Linked DNA regions of Callithrix jacchus. The protein of the gene in region 1 purifies or fractionates together with the protein of each later gene. This does not show direct contact. Links are inferred from orthologs where the notes say so. Each region holds a gene or a part of one and is shown on either strand. Other genes may lie near its edges.

Region 1 (4,121 bases):
AGCTATGCTGAGCGGTCCCTGCAGCCCCTGCTGCTGGGTACTCCTTCCTACCACCCATGGTGGGCTCAGCAGGGTCACAAAAAAGGTGGCCCAGCCCCTGCCTTCCTCCCTGGCACCTTGCCCCAGGGCAGCCCAGATCTCCCACAGGCCTAAGTCTCCCCGGGGAGGTGGGGGGGAGCTAGTGCTGGGTCCTGGCCTGCAGGAGCGGCCACAGGGTCAGCATGTGGCCCACGTCCCAGTGGGGTTCTGGCAGCCGGGTCCTGCCCGGCATCACCTGACTGCCAGTCTCAGGGCCCCAGTGCTCTGAAAGGTCAAATTGCACCCAGGCCCATGGATGGGCATCATGAGGGGACCCCACCTCCCAGGACATCAGGTGACCAGGGTGCCCAGCAGCACCTCCCATCCCAACAGACACAGCAACCGTGGTACTGGAGCTACAAGAGCCCAGGAGGCAAAATCCTGTGCCGCCGGGGCCCCTACACGCTGTGCCCTCCCAGGCCCCCCTGCACACTTCGCCCTCCCAGGAGTAGCTCCTGAGCTGAGCCTAGGGGTTTGCTGAGGGGCCCCGGGATGCTGTAGGACCTAATGGGCTCTCTGCAGGGTAAGGATCTCTACGTGGGAAGGCAGACACCGGGGCTCACTGAAGGAGGTGAGTGAGCTCCTGTGCACTGGGTCCTCACATCCTAACCTTCCTGGCACACTCGCCTTCTCAGGCCGGACCCTGCCCACCACTTCCTGCTGCAATAGTAAAAGATAAAGCCCCCCACACTCCAGCCCAGGCACAGCAACATCCACCTGCAGATACATGCAAAGCGCTTTATGATCCAGCCCAGCCCTGCACAGCACAGAGCTGAGCCGGGAGCCTGGCAGGGAGGGGCCGGCTGCCAGTGCAGCCGCCCGTGCTAAGGCCCTGAGCTCCTCCTCGGGCACGACTGCAGCGCCGGCCTCGAGGTATCCTCTCCTGAAAGGTCTGAGCCCTCGCTCTTCTGCAAGCCGCACTCCGCTCTAAGCCCTGCCTCAGGCGCCTCCTCGCCACCTGGGGAAGAAGGGTGGCCAGCGTCAGGCCCAGCGGGAGGGAGGGCCACTGGACCCTCTCTTGTGCCAGCTGAGGGGCCACCCTGCACCCTGACTCTGACCCACCCTCCCCCGACCACAGGCCTCCCCCGCCTGCTCCTGCTGGAACTCAGGCCGAGGCCGATGGGCGGTGCCTGGCTGGGCAGCACCAGGGGAGGAGCCTGAGGAACCCTCCCGGCCAGATAGGCCTTGGCCGGTGCCCCTGCCACCCCCACACTTTCAGCCATGTCACAGCAGCCCAGGGCGGAGGCGGCCTGCAGGTGGGCTGGAGGCTTTGGGGACATGGATTGGCCACCAGAGGGCAGAAGCTGCCCTCACCACAGACAGGCAGGCGCCCTGCTCCAGCGGGACTCACCGGGCACCGTGAGGTCCTGAGTGTAGATGATGTCGTCCTCGATATCGAAGAGGTCCTCGTCCTCGTCGGCACCGTGCAGGTCTTCCAGGTAGGGCACCACAGTCATGCTGCGCCACCGGTCCTTGGTGTCCGGGCTTGGCGGGATGGGCACCGGTGCTTCAGCTGGTGGGTGTTTCTTCCGGAACCAGCTGCAAATGCCCAGAAGCAGTGGCACCTATCAGGCCGGCACAGGGCAGTCCAGCTGCCCAACCCCGCTCCTCGGAGCTGGGACCAGGCAATGCGAGGGGTGGCCGTGACCACAGCAGCTCAGCTATGCCCTCCTGGAGCAGCCAGGCTGCCAGGGCCCTACAGCTCTGACCTCACTCCAAACCTGACACGTCTCCTCCACCCCAAGGCCTGACCCCCATGCCCCGTTTCAGCCTCAGATCTGTCTCCCAGGTGGCATTCAGAAGCCAGGGCACCCCCCAGATGCAGGTCAGCAAAGGCCAGAAGGGAGGCCACGTGCACATCCAGCCCAGGAGGCTATCGGAGGGCAGCCCCAGCCCCCACCAGGCTCCCAGCTGCCCCAAGCTGCCCAAAGATGCCCCAGGCACAATCAGCACCAGCGCCTCAGGGGTCCAAACACTCCCACTCAGGCCTTGTTGGACAGCTGAGGAACTCTGAGGGCTTTAGCAGAAGGTTCAAGGACCCCCCGCCCAGGGGCTGGCCCAGGAGGTGAGGGAGGTGGCACTGCAGGGCCTGCTGACCCCACCCACTGCCTTGTCTTCCCTGTGGTGGAGCTGGGGGCCCTGGGCTGGATCCCAGTGAGGAAGGAAAAGGAAGACCCTCCAAGTGCCCGGGCCAGCCGTGCCTTTCCTGGCCCAATGCCAGGCCTGGAGCAGGGATGGACACATGACCTCACTCAGACCCCAGCACAGACAAAGCCTGTCTGGCCAGCAAGGGGGCGCTGCCCAGAGACCCCCCTCAGGCCCCGAGAATTGTGAGCACTGTACGTGATCCTGCCCTAGACCCAGACCGGCACTCCCACCACATCCCCCACCACGCCCCCTGCTCCGGCCCCCACTCAAGCAGCTGCCCCCATGGCCGGCTTCCCTGTGGCCTTGGCCCCACTCACCTGTGCTGCCGGATCTGCCGTATGGAGAACCTCTTGGCCGGCTCATACTCAAGCATCCCTGAGGAGAGGCAGGTGAGGAGCCGGGCAGCGCCAGGCACAGGACTGAGACCCCACCAACCTTCCCCACCTGCCCAGCCTCTGCTGTCAAGCCCTGGGTGACGCCTGGATGCTCCCAAGGGCGGCCTCCCTGACAGAGGCCACTCCAGGGGACATCACTGCATGGTGGATGGGCGACCAGTGCCACCTGCTGCCACTCGCAGATGTGCAGCAGCGTGAGCCTGGCAGACCCTGCAGGCCAGGGAGCTCAGAGGCCCGGGCGGGGGGGGGGAAGAGCAGGGCAGCGCTACCTTCAAGGGTGGGAGTACAAAGGGGGAACACAAGGCCCAGAAGAAAGGGTGGAGTTGAGTAATGGCGGCGGCGGGGAGGGCCGGGGAGGACCTTTGGGGAGGCCGCCCTCTCCAGTCAGTCCTCTCAATGCCCTGCTAGGGTCCCTAGGGCCAGCAGCCACCCACCTGACACCCCCAGCCTGCATTTCTGCACAAAACCCCCTCCTCCCTGTGGAGGGGCTGTGGGCACAGGGATGAGGCTCCCACCTTTCAGCAGGTCGGAGAGCGGGGGGCCACAGTCGCCTGGGATCGCGTAGCTCCCCTTCCCAATGTTCTCGAACAGCTTATAGATGTTGTCCCCCTCGAAGGGGTACAGGCCCGTGGTGATGTTGTAGCTTCATTTCAAGGAGAAGGAAGGGGGCGTGGTCAGCCACGGTGGTCGATGCCCTGGGAGTCCCAGCTCTGCAGCCCTCGTGTGGCCGCTGGAGCGCAGGCCGTGCGAGCTCAGGGACACCTCTGTCGTCACCCCCTCCCACTAGCAGAGGCCGCGGGGCAGGAGGGGGGTGTCCTCTGGACCCACCTGGGGTAGGGGCTTGGAGCCAATCTCACCCACCTGGCTTCCCTGTGGGGCTCTGGGAGTGAGGGTGGGCTGTGCCACTGTGAAGACACCCGACATGCCAGGCCGCACCTCCCACGGTGAAATACCATGTGCTCTGGGAGTCACACCTCAGGTAAGCACCCCCCAGCGGCTGTGGCCAGCAAGGGACTGGGCTGATGGCCATGCCCTGTGCCTACCCAAGACACAGAGGCCCCTCCAAGCTGTGTGTATGGTGAGTGCTGGGACAGCCGGGGCACTTACAGGGTGACCCCAGCTGACCAGATGTCCACCTTGAAGCCTGAGAAGGTGTCCAGGCCGTTGGCAATCTCGGGGGGCTGGAACGCTGGGGAGCCCTGGCTTGTCCGGCAGGTGTCATCTGCCGCAAACGGGTGCAGTGCCTGTGGAGATGCCGCGCAGCCCTCAGAGAGTGCCGGGACGGGGCGCCCCAGGGCCCCCCAGCGCGTGCCTACCTCAGCTACGCCCAGGTCGGAGATCTTGAGGGTGCCGCCGGTGGTCAGCAGTAGGTTCCCCGGCTTGATGTCTTTGTGCACGATGCCCTGGCTGTGCAGGTACTCCAGGCCGTCGATCAGCTGGCAGAAGTACCTGCGGGCAGCACAGCACACACCTGTCTCAGGGCCGAGGCCACCCCGCCCA
Region 2 (4,807 bases), on another chromosome or scaffold:
CTGGAAATCATCCGAACAGCCCTAGTTCACAGGTGCGAACACTGATGCAAAAACCTGACCTTAACATGCCCAAGGTCAACAATTAGACTTTAAGAAAGATTTAAAGCGCCGATCCAATGAGCGTTTTACCACAGTATGTGGAAGGGGCTCATAAACAACACCATGTTCAGACTGTTGACGCATTTATTACCCGATTATACTAAAAACTTTGGTGCACAGAAGGTCATATAAAACATTTATCTAATATCAGACATTGTCACCTAAAATGAAATCAAACCAGAAATACATGGCATCTAAGTGTTTAGATTTCATGTTTATATTACACATCCATTCTTTTTTCAAAAATAACATAGTAAATGGACATTTTGAAAAACAAGGCTGCGAAAGAGACCTTTCTTATGTCAACTCAGAGTCCTCAAAATAAAGATATTTGGACAAAAATATTACAGGTGTTTTAGCAATCCTTCCCAAAGTAGATTACACTGTATGTACCCAATGTATCTGTTGAATGAATAACATGCTCACATTGATATACATGAAATGGAAACTCCACTCCTCTGGTTGTGGATACTTAAAACTGCAAACTTTTCTTCAGAGCAAAAGAAAGTAACCCCAAATATACTATTTACAAGTCATACACTATGAAACAAGTAGTTTCAAAATATTTCCATTTAGCAAGAAACTCTAAAACAAATGTAGCAATTCATCACTATAAGGTGGCAACGTAAGTGGTTACAATAAAACATGAAGGATTACAAGATTTTCTAAGGCAAACCGGAATTCAGACGAGTTCCCAGAAAGCACACTCTTTTTAGGCAGCATATTGTTGACACTATCTTACTAAATTAAACCCCGAGACAGAAACACTCTCCATACCAAAACACCAGAACTCCAAAGGAGATAAAGGCACCATAAATGAGTAAGCACTACAGTATTCGTCCTTTTTTAAAAAAAATTAGTAAGTTTCTATTCTAGTAATAAGGGACCAAAAACTAATAACACAAATAATAAAAGAGCTTACCAAAATTATATGTAACTGCATTGTAAACTTATCACATAGGAAAAACAGCGTTTCATTTTCTGTAATAAAACTTGGGAGAGGAGTTTTTGGTGCCGTAATGCATGCTCTTCTAAGAACCTGCACTCCCAAACAGCTAAAGAAGTTGTCGGGAAGTTAAAATAAACTTCAATCAGTCATTAAGCTGGATAAAAATAATCATTTCTCAACTTTTTCAAAAACACTCCATGCAAACACGATCGATCCTGATACTGTTTCGCCCTTCCCCCTGCTCGACTTGGGGAAGAAAAAACGATGCTTTTGAGGCATTTTAAACAACCTCACTACGTTGAAAGTGTGTTCTTTTTTAAAAAAAAACCAACAAGGTTTTCTGTCATTTCCATTACGCTGAAAAGGACATACAGACAGTCACCGAAATCAAAAGCAGGGGAAGCGGACTTACTTTTCCCAGATGCTAAGTGACTGCAGTGGCTAAGGTCATGGTCAAAATTCACAGGCTCATTTAAACTTTCCTGGCTGAGCCAACAGCTCCGATCATGTTTCCAGATCCTATCTAACTGGATTAAAACTGCAGGAGTTTCTCGCTGTCAGATCAGCAGGAGGCTATTTCAGACCCTCGAACCGCAGTCCGCATAGCCCGCAGCAGCGCATCCTCCAACCCCCGACTGTGAGTGACGCTAACCTTTCCACGCGTTCTCCTCCAGCATTTCCCGTCCCCCCACCACAGCGGGTGCGGCCAACTCGGGACCCCCTCCGCCCGCGCCCGCCGGGACCCCTGCCTGCCGTCTCCACCCCGGCCACCCTTCCGCAGTCGGTGACTTCTGCCCGGCTCCCCAAAGTGGGGGTAGGCGACGAGGGGAGGAAGACTCCCCGCCAAGGGCTCTCCACCCCGCACAGCGGCAGGGCGATGCGGGAGAGGCGCAGGGATGTCGCCCGACGCCAGAGCCATATTTACATCTGCTGCTGCTTTGCCAAAAAGCCGAATTATGCCCAATAATATTGCCTTTAAAGGAAAAGGAAAGGACCTAAGCAGTAAAGCTGCTGCCCCAAATCTGCTCGCTCTCCAGTATCCTCGCCCCAGTGCCCCCGTGGGAGGCTCGTCCGCGCCCAGCCCGGGACAGGTACACCCGCCAGCCGGCGGAGGACGCGGGCGCCACGCCGCCCCCACATTGGGCAGCGGTCGCCGAGACTCGGCCCCCAGCAGCCCCCGCCGGGGCTGACAGCCGAAGCGGTGCCGTGCCCCGCACAAACTTACCACTTTCCAGGCTGCGGGGACAGACCCGTGGGCAGGCGGGCGAACGGGGGGCGGCACGGGCACCAGCACCAGCCGTGAGACTCACATGCACACGGGACCCCAGTCCCGCAGGCGGCTCTAGGTCTAAATCCGGCGCAAATGGTGCCCGGGCGGCCCGGAGGGCTTAGGGGCGCGCGCCGCGGGGCCAGGGGCTCCGAGGCGGGCGAGCAGCCGGAGGGCCAGGGCAGGCTGGGGCTCCCCGCCCCGCAGCCGCTGCAGCCGGAGGAGGAGGGGAGCGAGGAGGAAGAAGAGGAGGAAGGGGACCGCGCGCCGCAGCCGAGCCCTTACCGAGTGGTTTACCCCCCACATCAGGACGCTGAGCAGCGGGTCGCTGGCCCGAAACAGCTTCACTTTCTGCGCTACGAAGTGCTTCTTCTTGGTCTTGGTTTTGCTCGCCAGGACCGAGGACCCTAGGTTGCCGGGGGTCGCCATGGCCTCCTCCTCAGTCCCCTCCACCGCCGCGCTCCCGAGGCCGGGGACCCGCCCTCTCTACACCCCGGCCCGGGAAGGTAGCCGCATCCCCCCGGTGGCGGCCCCGGCGCGCCGTGCTCCGCTCCGCCTGCCGCCGCCGCTGGCGCGCTCGGCCCCGCTCGGCTCGCTCCGCCCGCTCGGCCCGGCAGGCTGCGCTCGGCTCGCGCCCCGGCCCGGATCCCGCGCCCGCCGCGGCTCCGCGCTCAGCCCGCGGCTGGACCCGGCGCACCGCGAGCGGCTTCCGCGTTGGGCGCCGGCGTCATGACGCAGGGGGCGGGAGGGCGGGAGGCGACCGCTGCGCCGCGGGCGGGGCGCCGGGCGCTGGGCGCGGGGCGCGGCCACCGGACCGTTAGGCTGAGCCCTCCCGCCCCGGCTTCGCTGCGGCCGGGCAGTCCCCTGTGCCCGGGCGAGCTCGGGACGTTCGCTCCCGGCCCGCGGAAGAGGCCGCGGGGTGCGCGCGGAGAGCCTGGGGACCCGGCCTGGCGTCCCCTGCGGCTCCCCGAGGAGAGGGGACAGGGTGGGCAGAGCGGGGAGGTTGGGGAGAGGAGTCCCTAGGCGTCGATCAGGCGAAGGAGGGAAGCTCAGGGACCTGTGCTCGCCCACTCCGCGAGTCGGGAGACCCAGCGAGGTGCGAAATGCTGCAGGGAGACCAGGGCTTCCCAGCACCGAGGGGAAGGACCTGGGCACGTTTCTGGTCAGTCCCTGAGATGAACTTAATACCTTTGTGCCGTTCACCATGGGGCCTTTCACACCCTCGATATGGGCCTCCTGGAGTCATTCAAGAGGGAGACTCCCACCTAATAGTGTGGACCCACTCCGTGCCCGGGGCAGGACCCTGGGATCCTCATCTAGAGCCCTTGGCTTAACCAGGAGAATCATGCCCCAAAGTGCATCTTCTACTTGGAATCCATCACCATGGTCCTTGCCATCCCTGCCTGTTTTCCAGCGCATTCACCTTCTTCCATGGAAATCTGTTCACTGTCTTCCTCCAGATACACCTAAATGTAGCCCTTTATTATGATGAGAATACCTGGCTTACTTCAGGAAGCTGCCATTCCAAGTATGTCTAAAACCCTGCTGCCCCCATGTCATCCCGGCAGTCTTCATTCTGTACAATGTATTTACTCTGACCCAGCCCACCAGTCCTCACTGAACAGGTTCTTGGAAACTATCGCCTTAAGCAAAACAACATATCACAAAACCAAATTCGTCATAAGCTAACATTTAAAAAAAGAATTAAGTTCCTACAGCAATTATATCTGGTCACAAAAACATCATCAAACTTCAAAGTAAAGACTCAAAACACTTCTAATATTAAACATTGAAATAAATGTAAGCTATGCCGCCTTTTTAATTTTTTTCCCCCTTGAGATAGGGTATATCGCTTTGTCTCCCAGGCTGCCGGTGCAGTGGTGCAATCACAGTCCGCTGCAGGCTCTACTTCCTCGGGCTCAGGTGATTCTTCCACCTCAGCCTCCCCAGTAGTTGAGACTACAGGCATGAACCTGACCAAGTTCTATTTGGTAGAGATAGGGTTTTACCATGCTGCCCAGGCTAGTCTTGAACTCCCCTGCTCAAGGGATCTGCCCACCTCAGCCTTTCAAAGTGCTGAGAATACAGACGCCAGCCACTGCACCCGGCTCACCTACATTTTTTAAAGATTGATAAAAGCAAGATAATGCGTTGCCAAATTTCTGGTGAATCAGTGAGTAATGGTTACTGTGGTGCTGCGTTAAATCAAGAAATAAGCGTTTGCAAAGCAAAAAGTTGTCAGGAGAACCTGCTGCTACCATGAGATTAAAAAACTATCACAAATATGGTAGCTGAGTGCTCTCCTATCTCATTTATTGTCATACATTTTTATGATTATTGTACACTTACATCTTTTTATTTTACAGTCATTTGTTTCATGGATTCATTCATTTTTCCAACTCATTTATTCCAGTTCAAGGTCACAGATAGTGGAAGACTATCCCAGCAGCTCAGCTTGAGCAAAAGGTGGAAACCATCCCTGGATAGGATGC
Region 3 (4,885 bases), on another chromosome or scaffold:
GCCTCCCAGTATCTGGGATTATAGGCGCCCACCACCATGCCCGGCTAATGTTTTTTGAATTTTTAGTAGAGACAGGGTTTCACCATGTTGGCCAAGCTGGTCTTGAACCCTGACCTCAAATGATTCACCTGCCTCAGCCTTTCAAAGTACTGGGATTACAGGTGTGAGCCACCACGCCTGGCCTCTGGCTTTCAAGAAATTTATATCCTTGGCAGTTGGGAGGGGAACAGGCCATAAAAAAGCAAACAGAAAAAATAAGTAAGGAAATTTCAGATCACGATATGTACAAAGAAGAAAATGAAACAGGGATGCAATTGAGTGTGATGGGGGTCTGTTGGGTAGTCAGGGAAGGCTGCTCGGAGGAAGGTTATGTTTGAGCTAAGACCTGGAGGACGAGAATAAACCAGTCACGTGAACATCTGGAAGCTGAGGGTTTCAGGCACAGGAAACAGCACAGCACATGCAAAGGCCTCAAGGCATGAAGGAGCTTTGTGTTTTCTAGGTTTAGAAAAAAGGCTGGGTTCAAATACACTACTCTCCAGTAATCCTCGGCAAGGATTATTGTACCCATTTTTTAGAGATGGAAATTGAGACTTGTCAGGATGGTTAGTTTCTTGGTCAAAATCACAACTGGGAGTACAAATTTTGAATGTAAAGCCACTATTTTGGGGTTATTTTGGTGTTTGTATGTATATATACGTGTGTTTTTTTAAACAAAATCATCAAGTTCAGCAACCATGTGTCCTAAATTATCTAGGATGGTCAAATTTCTTTTTACTTTTTTTTTGAGACCAAGTCTCGCTCTGTCACCGAGGCCGGAGTGCAATGGTGCGATCTCAGCTCACTGCTTCCTCCTACGCCTCCTGGGTTTAAGCGATTCTCCTGTCACAGCCTCCCGAGTAGTTGGGATTACAGGCACCTACCACCACGCCCAGCTAATTTTTGTATTTTTAGTAGGGACAGGGTTTTGCCATGTTAGTCAAGCTGGTCTCCAACTCCTGACCTCAGGGGAATCTGCCCACCTCAGCCTCCCAAAGTGCTGGGATTACAGGCATGAGCCACCGTGCCTGGCCCAGATATCAAATTTCTAAAATTCTTTTTTTTTTTTTTTTCTGTTTTTGATAGAGTCTTGCTCTGTTGCCCAGGCTAGAGTACAGTGGCATGATTTCGGCTCACTGCAACCTCCACCTTCTGGGTTCAAGCAATTTTCCTGCCTCAGCCTCCCAAGTAGCTGAGAGTACAGGTGCCTGCCACCACACCTGGCTAATTTTTGTATTTTTAGTAGAGACAGGGTTTCAACATGTTGGCTATGCTGGTCTCGAACTCCTGACCTCAGGTGATCCACCCGCCTCGGCCTCCCAAAGTGCTGGGATTACAGGAAGGAGCCAGCATGCCTGGCCCTAAAATTCTTATTGTCTCCTGGACAGTCATCTTGGACATGCTCTGTGTTCTATATCATGACTTCAAGCCTTGTCTTTGTCAGGTACTGCCAGTGAGATCCTAGACTAGCACTTCACCACTTTAAGCCTCAGTTTCCTCCTTTATAAATAGGGAGGAATTGTAATCATTCCACTATCACAGGTTTGCTGGGAGGATTAAATGAGAACATCCACATCAGAGTCAGCACAGTGCCTGGAACGGGGTACCTGTGAAATGAATGGTGATTCTTCTTTATTGTTACCTTGGAAAATGGAGGCCAACTGCAGGATGATCCTGGCTCCAAGGAGCCGGGGACCCAAGACAAGCATACAGAAAGAGAGACCAACAATTGGAGGCCTCTGATGCATAAGACAGGCAGGGGAGTGGTGGGAGGAGAGAGCAAGACTGAGCAGCCAGGAGGGCCTCTTCCCTTCCCTTTACTCAGCCTCTCACTCCTCTGCTAGGATCCCATATTGACACATCTTGTACTTCCCGTTTCCAGGGAAATTCCTCGCTGCCGGACTGCACCCACCCCTGAGGACCTCCCAATATCTTTGGGCAGAGCAGAAGCCAGACAGAGACAAGGACTACCAAGCAACCATCTCCAGCCCCGTGTGTGCAAGGAGCCCTGAGGGGCAGGCGGCCACGCTGCAGAAGACTAGCCTCTCCAACCCCAGGGAGCCTGGCGTGGGCTGCAGGAACAGAACGCTTCTCAGAGGAGGTAGGGACCCCATGGAGTACGTGACGTGACGCCTGGCCCTCCAGCTGCATGCTCCAGTTAGCAGGACAGAGACCCCTCCCCACACATTCCCAGCCTTCCCTGGTTTCCTGCTCTGCTACTGGGAGGCCCTGTCACCACACATGCGCGTGCATGCGCTAACACATACACCCCTCCCAGGCACCCCCGGAAGACCAGCTGCAGCTGGGGGTGGGGGGGGGTGCACTGAGCACAGCCAGGGTTCTCAGATCCCTAGCCTGCTCTCCCACCCCACCCTAGCCCCCAATTGCCGAGCTGCTTCTAGGTTTAAAGCAAAACACGACTCTGTCCTTCCTGCTGCTCAGTGGCAGCAACACTGCCTGGAGTTATTTTTAGCAGGGATGCAGGGAAGGCACAGTTCTCCTTGACTTTAACTAGGGACAACCCCCACCCCCCAGCCAAGACTCACTGGAGGAGGCCAGTACGGAAACTCCCCTCCCAGAAAGGGGAAATGGTGTGTTTTCTGTTCCTTCAATTCACTAGAATGGGAATCGTGGTCAAGCCTGGTGTTGAACTGATGGGAAATTCTAGGTTCCAAAGCCCATGGGCTCTGCCCCATCCTTGGCCTCTATGTTTCCATGAATCCGGGAAGCGAGAGGCACATGGTGTCTGGAGTTGAGGTGCCCTGTCTGTGGGTGCTGGGGTCCCTGGGAAACTGCTTGGTTATATCCAAGCTCTGTGGATTACACAGGGGCACCAGGTATCGTGGGTGGTGTTTCACAGGCGCTGGCTAAATAATTCATTAAACTGAACATGTATGTTTCATGTACTTTTCCATATGTGTATCTTTTAGATGCTAGCAGTACTTTATGAGGTATAATCAACATACATTCCACATACAGTAAAATGCATAAATCTTAAGTGTACAGCTTGATGAATTTTGACAAATATATATGCCTATGTAACCATCACCTAGATCAAGATTTCAGACATTTTCACTACCTCCAAATGCCTTTGTGTCCCCTTCCAGTCAGTCTCCGCCCCAGAGGCAACTGATTCCGACTTCTACCACCATAGATCGTGTGTGTGTTTCACAAAGTTAAAGAAATACAGCTGCTGTCACGGAAGAGGGAAATGAGCAATAAAGTTCTTAACATGAAAGGAGGGGGCCTCAAAAAAAGGGGTTATTGCAACTGGAAAAATGAAGGTATCATTGGCCTGGGAAACAGGAGGTTTCAGAGCCAGCCCAACCCCTCAGGGTTGGGACCAGAAGGCTTGGGACACTTCTTGAAGCAGAGAAGCTGTGAGTGGGGAGGGAGCAAGGGGAGGGCCAGTCTTGGCTCAGGCCTAGCTGCCTCTGGGTCTGCTAGAGGTCCCTGCCCCTCCTCCAGGCCCTGACCACTGCACAGTTTCAGCAAGGCCAAGGCTGCAAGGAAAGGTTCTCTCAGGGGCATCCACCCAGAGGCAGAGTTTAGGGCCCCCATGTAGTTAAGTTATTTGTTTTCCTTGACTTCCTTTTCAAGGTCTGGGACTCCTGCATCCTTTGTCCTGCCTGGGGCGGGGAGAGGCTGAGGCTGTCAAAGCAGAGTGCTAAGGAAGAGTCATGATGCTTTTCATTCTTTCCTTCCTTTCTTCATTCAAAAACAGTTATTTGAGCACCCGTGTAGTGCTATAGATTCTGCCGGGTGCTGGGCATAGGAGAATAAGCCACATTTTAGCTTAGAGAGTCAGAGTTGGCATTTCTAGGTAGAAGCAAGGCCTTATACCTCCTTCATATTGGAGATGAGGGGCCCAGAGAGGGGAAGTGACTTATTAGAATCACACAGCTAGCTGCTGGCAGAGGAAGGCCAAGAACAAGGATCGATCCCTGATTGAGACTTAGCTGGGGATAAGAAAGCAAAGGAAACCAAACCAACAGCTGACTCCCTGGTGTGCTCTCCTGTAAGCTTTCTAGGGTAACAAAAAGCACTGACCTGGAGTGAGAGGACCTCAAGGCTACTGCTAGGTCTTAGAAACACTTCCTCTCTCTGGGCCTCAGCTTTATTCCATGAACATGCAGGAGGCAGCTTCTGGAGCACACCCTCCATTTTCCCGCCTCTGTGCCTTTGCTCGGGTTGTTTCTGCCGCCTAGAATGCCCCCTTTCCCCTCCTACTTCCTTCCTCTGACATTCTCCTAATCATTTATGACCTAATTCAAATGCTGTCCCCAGAGGCCCCGCAGTCCTTGGGCATCTGGAGAGTGGTGTCACCCAGGTCCCCACTACCAGAACAGACAGAGCCTCCTCCATTTTGCAATCCTCCCATCCTAGGGCACAGCTTTCCTTGGATATGGGGTCTGTTTTGTCAGCCACTGTTGGAGGAATTGAAGGGATTTCTTAGTCCCACCCTACACTTCCACATGCCCCCTTAGCTTTCAGAGACTGATGTCGTCCTTCCACTGGGCCTTGAAGACATTGTGCTTTCTGCTGGCCATGCCAGCCCAGGCCAGAGCATCAAACCTGGGCACTTCTGGCCAAGGTGGCTGCCCTGGGAGGTGACCCCAGGAAGGATGAGAAGGCGGGGCCTCAGCCAGAAGCATGGCTGCCCCACCTCAGTCATCCAGTCATCATTCACAAACACCCCGGCAGAAATCCTCCCTCACAACAGACACGTGGCTCCTGCTCCCACAACCATATCCAAACCCACTCCTACCTACCTGCCCACAGCAGCAAGTTTGCAAAGATGTACCCCACTGCTCCCACAGCTCCCCTGCCCCTCCCCTGGGTGGGC

Evidence for each region. Proteins that work in one complex are often made in the same cells at the same time.
Region 2: the proteins of STK11 (region 1) and PIP4K2A purify together in Homo sapiens (affinity purification with mass spectrometry; 3 studies listed by BioGRID and IntAct, counting the BioPlex papers as one, with this or other methods). This does not show direct contact. The link is inferred for Callithrix jacchus from reciprocal best matches to the Homo sapiens genes STK11 and PIP4K2A.
Region 3: the proteins of STK11 (region 1) and FKBP5 purify together in Homo sapiens (affinity purification with mass spectrometry; 8 studies listed by BioGRID and IntAct, counting the BioPlex papers as one, with this or other methods). This does not show direct contact. The link is inferred for Callithrix jacchus from reciprocal best matches to the Homo sapiens genes STK11 and FKBP5.

What each region holds. Positions count from the first base shown.
Region 1 is NC_133523.1:1,148,341-1,152,461, reverse strand, and holds part of STK11 (serine/threonine-protein kinase STK11), read right to left. Parts: intron 4,071-4,121; coding exon 3,938-4,070; intron 3,866-3,937; coding exon 3,729-3,865; intron 3,265-3,728; coding exon 3,137-3,264; intron 2,602-3,136; coding exon 2,544-2,601; intron 1,618-2,543; coding exon 1,430-1,617; intron 1,037-1,429; exon of another isoform or gene 1-1,036. UniProt on the Homo sapiens protein: Tumor suppressor serine/threonine-protein kinase that controls the activity of AMP-activated protein kinase (AMPK) family members, thereby playing a role in various processes such as cell metabolism, cell polarity, apoptosis and DNA damage response.
Region 2 is NC_133508.1:23,217,360-23,222,166, forward strand, and holds the start of PIP4K2A (phosphatidylinositol 5-phosphate 4-kinase type-2 alpha), read right to left. Parts: upstream 3,016-4,807; 5' UTR 2,745-3,015; coding exon 2,601-2,744; exon of another isoform or gene 2,274-2,600; intron 1,692-2,273; exon of another isoform or gene 1,461-1,691; intron 1-1,460. UniProt on the Homo sapiens protein: Catalyzes the phosphorylation of phosphatidylinositol 5-phosphate (PtdIns5P) on the fourth hydroxyl of the myo-inositol ring, to form phosphatidylinositol 4,5-bisphosphate (PtdIns(4,5)P2). Has both ATP- and GTP-dependent kinase activities.
Region 3 is NC_133505.1:44,021,931-44,026,815, reverse strand, and holds the start of FKBP5 (peptidyl-prolyl cis-trans isomerase FKBP5), read left to right. Parts: upstream 1-1,870; 5' UTR 1,871-2,140; intron 2,141-4,885. UniProt on the Homo sapiens protein: Immunophilin protein with PPIase and co-chaperone activities. Component of unligated steroid receptors heterocomplexes through interaction with heat-shock protein 90 (HSP90).